2 linked regions of the Cricetulus griseus genome follow. The protein of the gene in region 2 interacts with the protein of the main gene of each other region in a biochemical or structural test. Links are inferred from orthologs where the notes say so. Each region holds a gene or a part of one and is shown on either strand. Other genes may lie near its edges. The genes, in order: Thra and Ncoa6.

Region 1 (4,521 bases), on a different chromosome or scaffold from region 2:
TGGGTCCTGCCAACTCCTGTCACTGCACAAGGTGTGTGTGTGTGTGGGAGGGGGGAGCATGGTTTTCCCGCCTGGGTCAGTTAGGGGAGGAGCCTCCTCACCACCTCCTTAAAGAGTTGTAGCCTGAGCCTAAAGTGCTCCCACTGAACTGGTGTTCCCTGTGGGCCTGCCAGATTCAGGGGTCAACAGGGGAGTCTACTCCCCTCCCTTTCCCCATCCCCAGCCCCCAAAACATGCTGGCCAGCCGCAGCTGCAGCATTAAGGAAAGGCAGGATGTCCTGAGCAGCCAGCTGAGCACCCCCCCACCCCCCCAACCTCCTGCTGACCCCAGAAGCAGGCTGGGCGGGCCAAAGGGCCCGAATTTGAGCATTAACAACTGGAAAAGTATGAAGAATGTTGCTGCCAGCTCTGAGAAAAGAGACCGTGGCAGAAATGAAGACAAGCACAGGGCAAGAGAGAGAGAGAGTTACAGACTGGCAGAGACACAAGGAGAGAGAGTCAGACACCCCAAGACAGCAACAGAAAGACAGACAGAGTTAGAGAGAAATTCCAAGTCAAAAATACACCTCACTCACACAGACATTCGCCAGCCAGCATACGGCCTCCCAAGGAAAGCTTCCAAGTTTGGACAAGAGGGCCAGAGGTGAGAAAGGGGGCAGATTCACAGTGGGAGGCAAGCACTCAGCTGGGGACAACTAAGGGTCCCCAGGAAAGGCCCAGCCAAATAAACCCTAGCAGGGGCAGCCAGGTCCCCACTGGCTTATAGGCTAGGGATGAGAGAGAGCCAGAGAGCCACTCCCAACTCTTCCCCAGACACCCCTCCCCCAGCAACCAGGACAATCCCAGCTGCTAGAAGTCACTGGACATTGCTGCAGGCCCATGACTCGGCCCTCTGGAACCCCCTTTGTACCCACTTTGCTCTTGTTTCTCTGTCCCTCTAAAAGGGGGGGGGGAGAGCCCATTGCTACACAGTGGCTGAGCCTAGAAGATAGAAAGAAGCCAGAGGGAATAGTCTGTGGCTGTGTGCATTTAAGTGCGTTCCTGCCCTAGCTACAATGTGTCTATCTGCAAGGGTTATCTGGACACTGCCAGGTGGGACCTGTGACTGCACTCGGGAGCCCTGTGCATGGCCCCTGCACCTGTGAGACTAGGTGTAAAGGAGTGCACCTGTGCCTGGAGTTCCTACAGTCAATCAATTAACAAGTGTTTACAGAGCACACACTGTGCTAGGCTCTGGGTGGGATCCAGGGTTCTTCTAGAGGTTCTCCCATGTCTCAAGGAGATTGCCATCTAGTAACTGGGTGGTATGACAACCAACAGTAACAGACTATATTATCAGGAATGCATCCTGTGCACCAATATGCAGAAAAGTCTTTTTATACAGATGAATTTGATTTTCTCGGTAGCAAAGGTTTTGTTGTCCATAGAACCTCAGCTCCACAGATGAACCCAGGAAAATACTTGTTGCTAAGTTGAGTACACATGTGTTGATGTGTAGCTGTGTTTTTTGTTTGACTGAGTGGCAGTGACTGTCATGGCAAGCAATGATGACTGCATGACTGGGCACATGTGAGCTCGTGTGTGCTTGTGAGTGACAGGGTCTTTTGTAATTGTGCGGCTGTGTGCAACTGCTGTGTGTGCATGCATGCATGCATGCATGTGATAGTGACAGCGACTCTTCCTTGCCCCTGTGTGTGACAGCATCTCCCTGTGACCCTGTGCGTGGGTATGTGCACAGGCTGTCTCTCTGCTCTTGGTCTCCCGTGGGTGTGTCCAACCCCTTTGAGCTCCACCATGCAGCAGCAGTCTGCCTCTTCCCTTGTCCCCATGTGGGTGTGTCCAGCAGCTCCTGTCCTTGAATCTGCCTGGGTGTCCCTGAGTGTTCGTGTGGCTGTCTGTGTGGGCATATCTGTGTCTGCATGTCACCTTTGCCTCCCCCTTCATCTTGGACAATGGCCCCCTTCATCCCCTCCCCCTCCTGGGTCCAGAGCCAGCATTCAGGGGCAGGCTCCCATCTCCCCGGCTTTCCTTCTGTGTACCCCCCCACCCCTGGTCCCCGAAATGGGTGGCTCTCTCCATTGCCTTTGACATCTTCCCAGGCCTTCCTTTCACACTGGACAAGGGAGGGCCCTAGACAGAAAAGGGCCACCGGAGACACGTTGCAAAGGGAGGGAAACAGGGGAGCACACACACACACACACACACTCACACACACACTCACACAAACACGGGTCCATTGCTTCCTCTCTTCCCCACCACAGGCCAGCAATTCTCCTAATCATCCAGGGACCATCCACTAGTACACCCCCACTACTACAGGCTCACATTCCCCCCACCCCACCCGCCGCGTTTTTGCAATTAGGAGTGTTGCAACCAGAAAGCCATGCTCAACTGGGAAAGCAGGGAGGGGAGGGGGACTTCACTCTCCCCCAGCCCATGCAAGGCCCCCCCCCACCCTGCCGCACCCACATTGCCCTCCGTAGCTGGAGGCGGCTTTGCAAAGGCCATTCGCCCTCTTTGGCGGAGGGGGGAGGGTTGGGGGGGCACGACAGGCTTCTGGCACACCGTAAACAAACCGCGGCGCGGCGGGCGGGGGAGCCTCGGCAGGCAGCGGGGCCCAACCCGGGAATGCGCAGCAGACCGGCCGGACAGAGGCCGGGCGGGCCCTCGAAGGGGAGGCCCAGACGCCATCTCCGCGAGCGAACCCCGGGGCCCACCGACCACTTAACAGCACCTCCCTTTCCCAGGGCGTCAGTGGCTCGCTCTCGGGCTGTGACAGGGTCACCCGGGCGCCCGGAAAGGCACAGGTCGGCGACGGGAACCCCCTGGCCGCCCCCAGCCCGCCTCCGAGCTGGCCAGAGACCCGCGGCTTTGCATAATCAATCGCGATGCATTTGCATATTAATGCCCCCTCGCTCCCTCCTCCTTACCTTGGCTTGGCGCGCTGAACCGAGTTGGGCAACGACGCGGGGGTCTCAGCGCCCCGTGCTGGGGGCGTCCATGGGGGGCCGGTTGGGCCCGGGCCGCCCGCCTCCAGCGCCGGGGTGTGAGTGCGAGTGAGCGCGGGGGGCGGGGGGCGAGTGTGGCGGCCCCGGCGCTCCTCCGGCAGAGGCGGCGGCCGCTCAGGCTCCTCCCTCCCCCGCCCCGCTCCGGCTGGGGCTCCGGCTCCGCGCGCCCGGCCGGCTCGCGGCTGCTCCCTGCAGGCCGCCTCGCAGCCGTCGGCCCCCGCCCCTCGGCCCGCGCCGCGCCCCGGGACCCCGGCTGGTCGCCCCGCAGCCCCTCGTTCGCCTTGGCCTCTACTAGGCTCGGACTCGCCCACTTCACCCCTGAGGCTCCGTCGAGGAGCGAGGAGGCTCTGTGACACATTTTGAGCAAGATGTCATTTTTTTTTAATAGCTTTTTACTCGCTGGGAGAATTGGGGGTTTTCTGGTTTGCACCCTGAGGTAGAGGGGAAGTTTCGGGGAGTTCTCTGCACCTTATAAATCCGGGAGAAAGCCCAGATACCAAACGATAGGTTTGTTTCATAGTTCGGGTCCCTTCTCTCCAAGCAACTCTCTGTGTGACCTTGAACAAATTACAGCTGCCAGGGTTAGTTAGAGCTTAAAATCCAAGTGTTGGGCAGGTAACTTCTGAAATCCTCCTAACTTCAACCATTTTATTTTCTAACCGTTTTGGAGTCTCATTTTTCATTTTCATGCCTCCTTTCTCATTTCTAACATTAATGCTGGATCCACTGCCTCCTCCTGCAAACGTTTCTTTTCTCCATAGAGGCTCTTTCTATTCAGTGCCCACCAGCCATTCCCCAACAATATACAGCCCGTGCTAAGCTTGGGGAGGGGGGTGGGCAAGACTCTCTACTGTCCCTCGGCTCCCAGTTTCACTGAGGTACGATCTCCTCTCATGTTTGCACCATCAAAATCCAAATGGTTCCAGGGCCAACCTAAGGAGCAGAGTGGCTGCAAATAGATGGACTCATTTTCTCAAAGGAGAGGTCTCCATGCTAGTTCCGGACCCCTGCGCGCGCACGCGCACGCACGTGCACCAAACACACACACACACACACACACACACACACACACACACACGCGCGCGCGCGCGCGCGCGCGCACACACGCACACCCCTTTGCATTCATGGACATAAAACCCTGTCAGTGACGCCATAGCCCCTTTCATCTCGGGATCTACTACCGCCAGGCAGAGGTCTAATTACCCTAGCACCCCCCTCTGGCCCCGCCGGTTCCCCCGCTGTCATTAGCCCAGTTTTACCAGCGGGGGCCATAGCCTTCCCACGGCTGCCAGGGCGGAGCCCTGCCTCCCCAGCTTGCTCTTGGGGAGGAGCCAGTGAGTGTGTCAGGGGAGCTGCTCTTCTAACCGTTCAGTTTATACTGGATAGAATCGTTTGCTGAGTGGGATGCTGACCAACAGTCTATCCAAGTTGGGCTGCCCTTGCTCATCTTAGTCTCAGCCACCTACACCCTGAACCACGGAGCCACTTCTCTTACAAGGGATTTTAAGGGTTT
Region 2 (3,809 bases):
CTAGAATTATATCTTTTACTTTTATTAAAGGAACAAAAAGGCTGTTTTCATCAAAACCAAATTTTGAGAAAAACAAGTCCTCTGCTACGAGAAAAATCGATTTCTAAATATGTTATTTCATACACACAGTGAATTACTGATTATTTCTACCTGAGACCTAAATACTGGGCAACCAGCCCTTTGCTGTTGATAGGGTTTTTCTCATTTATAGTGCATAATACAGTCTTAATGCAGTAATGCTTCATTCACAACGTAAACACCAAGGGGCTTCGTGTTCTTAATGCTTTGCTTTTTGCCTCCTTAAGCAGTGTGAACCCTTGCTTGTGTCAGACAATGGGAACAGCATGCCTGAGCTGTTTGTGCGCAGTCTGCTACCTATGAGTACTGCTTAGCTACACTCTAAAGGTAGCAAAGTTTTCTTGCTGAAAAATCTAACTTCCCTGATTTTGGGGGGCTTGTTTTAGGTTATCCTACTCAACCAGTTGAACAGAGGCCACTGCAACAGATGCCTCCTCAACTCATGCAGCATGTGGCACCCCCACCACAGCCACCACAGCAGCAGCCACAACCACAACTGCCTCAGCAGCAGCAGCAACAGCCACCACCACCACCTAGTCAGCCACAGTCTCAGCAACATCAGCAGCAGCAGCAACAAATGATGATGATGCTCATGATGCAGCAAGACCCTAAATCCATTAGGCTTCCAGTCTCCCAAAATGTCCACCCTCCACGGGGTCCTCTGAACCCAGACTCCCAGAGAATGCCCGTGCAGCAGAGTGGCAATGTACCTGTTATGGTTAGCTTGCAAGGACCTGCCTCTGTGCCACCATCACCTGATAAACAAAGAATCCCAATGTCTGTGAATACTCCATTGGGAAGTAATTCGAGGAAAATGGTATACCAGGAGAACCCACAGAATTCTTCTAGCTCTCCACTAGCAGAGTTGTCCTCACTTCCTGAAGCTAGTGGCAATGAAGTACCATCTGTTTCAGGAGGCCCAAATAACATGCCGTCACATTTAGTAGTTTCTCAGAATCAGTTAATGATGACAGGGCCCAAACCTGGACCATCTCCCCTTTCAGCAACTCAAGGTGCAACTCCCCAGCAACCTCCTGTAAATTCTTTGCCTAGCTCCCATGGCCACCACTTTCCAAATGTTGCTGCACCAACCCAGACATCTAGGCCTAAAACTCCAAACAGAGCCAGCCCCAGACCCTATTATCCTCAGACACCCAACAACCGCCCTCCCAGTACAGAACCTTCAGAAATAAGTCTGTCACCAGAAAGACTCAATGCCTCCATAGCAGGACTCTTCCCTCCACAGATTAATATTCCTTTACCTCCCAGGCCAAATTTAAATAGGGGCTTTGATCAACAGGGTTTAAATCCAACAACTCTGAAAGCCATCGGGCAAGCACCTTCAAATCTTACCATAAATAATCCTCCTAACTTTGCTGCCCCACAAGCTCATAAATTAGATTCTGTGGTGGTGAATTCTGGAAAACAGTCTAATCCTGGAACAACAAAACGGGCAAGTCCAAGTAACAGTCGCAGGTCTAGTCCAGGGTCCAGTAGGAAAACTACCCCAAGTCCTGGAAGGCAAAATTCAAAAGCCCCAAAACTTACTCTGGCTTCTCAACCAAGCACAACCCTGTTGCAGAACATGGAACTGCCTAGAAATGTATTGGTCTCCCCCACTCCAATTGCTAATCCCACTTTATCTGGAAGCTTTCCTAACAATAGTGGGCTTAATCCTCAGAATCCCAGCGTGCCTGTGCCTGTGCCTGCAGTGGGGGCTGTTCTTGAGGATAACAAAGAGAGTTTGAACGTTCCTCAGGACAATGATTGCCAGAATTCCCAGGGTAGGAAGGAGCAGGTAAATGTTGAGCTGAAAGTAGTCCCTATCCAAGAAGCTAAAATGGTTGTCCCTGAAGATCAGTCCAAAAAAGATGGGCAACCTTTGGATGCTAACAAACTCCCCAGTGTTGAAGAGAACAAAAATTTGATGTCTCCTGCCATGAGAGAAGCACCAACATCATTAAGCCAACTTCTTGACAACTCTGGAGCTCCTAATGTGACCATTAAACCCCCTGGGCTTACAGATCTGGAAGTAGCACCTCCAGTAGTTTCAGGGGAAGACCTCAAAAAAGCATCTGTCATTCCCACACTGCAGGATCCGCCTTCTAAAGAGCCCTCTAATTCCTTAAACTTACCTCACAGTAATGAGCCGTGTTCAACCCTTGCGCATCCAGAATTGAGTGAGGTCAGCTCTAATGTTGCACCAAGCATCCCTCCAGTAATGTCAAGGCCTGTCAGCTCTTCCTCCATTTCTACTCCTTTGCCCCCAAACCAAATAACTGTATTTGTTACTTCCAATCCCATAACCACTTCATCTAACACATCAGCAGCCCTGCCAACAAACTTGCATTCTGCCTTGATGTCAACAGTTGTCACAATGCCCAACGTGGGTAACAAAGTTATGGTTTCTGAGGGACAGTCCGCTGCTCAATCTAATGCCCGGCCTCAGTTCATTACACCTGTCTTTATCAATTCATCTTCAATTATTCAGGTTATGAAAGGATCACAGCCAAGCACAATTCCTGCAACCCCATTGACAACCAACAGTGGCCTGATGCCTCCCTCCGTCGCAGTTGTTGGACCTTTACACATACCTCAAAACATAAAATTTTCTTCAGCTCCTGTAGCACCTAATGTTCCCTCCAGCAGTCCTGCTCCAAACATACAGACAGGCCGGCCGTTGGTCCTTAGCTCACGTGCCACTCCTGTTCAGCTGCCTTCCCCTCCTTGTACATCCTCTCCAGTCGTCGCTCCTAATTCTTCTATCCAGCAAGTAAAAGAATTAAATCCAGATGAGGCTAGTCCTCAGATGAACACCTCAGCAGATCAGAGCACTCTGCTCTCTTCACAGTCCACCACAGTAGTTTCTCCCCTTTTGACCAATAGTCCAGGCTCCTCTGCCAATCGGCGAAGCCCGGTCTCATCCACTAAGGGCAAAGGAAAAGTGGACAAAATTGGCCAGATTTTGCTGACCAAGGCTTGTAAGAAAGTTACAGGCTCTCTGGAAAAAGGGGAAGAACAGTATGGTGCAGATGGAGAGACTGAAGGCCCAGGGCTAGAGACCACAACTCCTGGGCTAATGGGAACAGAGCAGTGCTCCACAGAGCTGGACAGTAAAACCCCAACACCCTCAGCACCCACGCTACTAAAAATGACCTCTAGCCCCATGGGCCCAAGCTCCACCTCAACAGGACCCATCTTACCTGGCGGTGCTCTCCCAACCAGTGTACGCTCAATAGTAACCACACTGGTACCCTCTGAGCTCATCTCCACAGCGCCAACCACAAAAGGCAATCATGGTGGCGTAGCATCTGAGCCACTTGCAGGTGGCCTAGTGGAAGAGAAGGTGGGACCTCATCCAGAGCTTCTACCCAGCATAGGTATGTACTTGAGCTTGGCATCAGCTCCTCAGGTCAGGGTTTTGTTGACCTGTCCCACAAAAGAGAAAGCATGAGCCCTTTTCTGCTTAGAGGAAGAAAAATGGCCATAGTTGTAGATTTACTTACTGAAAGTACATTGAAAAATATGCTTTTAAATCCCATATTCAGTTTATATTCATTAACATGGTTCCTTCCTAGCTTCTGAACTGATGACGTGTTTCATTTTCGTGTGTGTGTGTGTGTGTGTGTGTGTGTGTGTGTGTGTGTGTGTGTGTGTGTGTGTGTAAAAGCATTTTCATACACACTATCTCACATCATCTTATACCAGTCATGTGATGTAAACTTACTCCT

Evidence for each region.
Region 1: the proteins of Ncoa6 (region 2) and Thra form a complex in vitro, tested with the Homo sapiens proteins (2 studies listed by BioGRID). The link is inferred for Cricetulus griseus from reciprocal best matches to the Homo sapiens genes NCOA6 and THRA.

Annotation. Positions count from the first base shown.
Region 1 is NC_048600.1:111,824,930-111,829,450, reverse strand, and holds the start of Thra (thyroid hormone receptor alpha), read right to left. Parts: upstream 3,097-4,521; 5' UTR 2,931-3,096; intron 1-2,930.
Region 2 is NC_048599.1:24,227,843-24,231,651, forward strand, and holds part of Ncoa6 (nuclear receptor coactivator 6), read left to right. Parts: intron 1-464; coding exon 465-3,458; intron 3,459-3,809. UniProt on the Homo sapiens protein: Nuclear receptor coactivator that directly binds nuclear receptors and stimulates the transcriptional activities in a hormone-dependent fashion. Coactivates expression in an agonist- and AF2-dependent manner.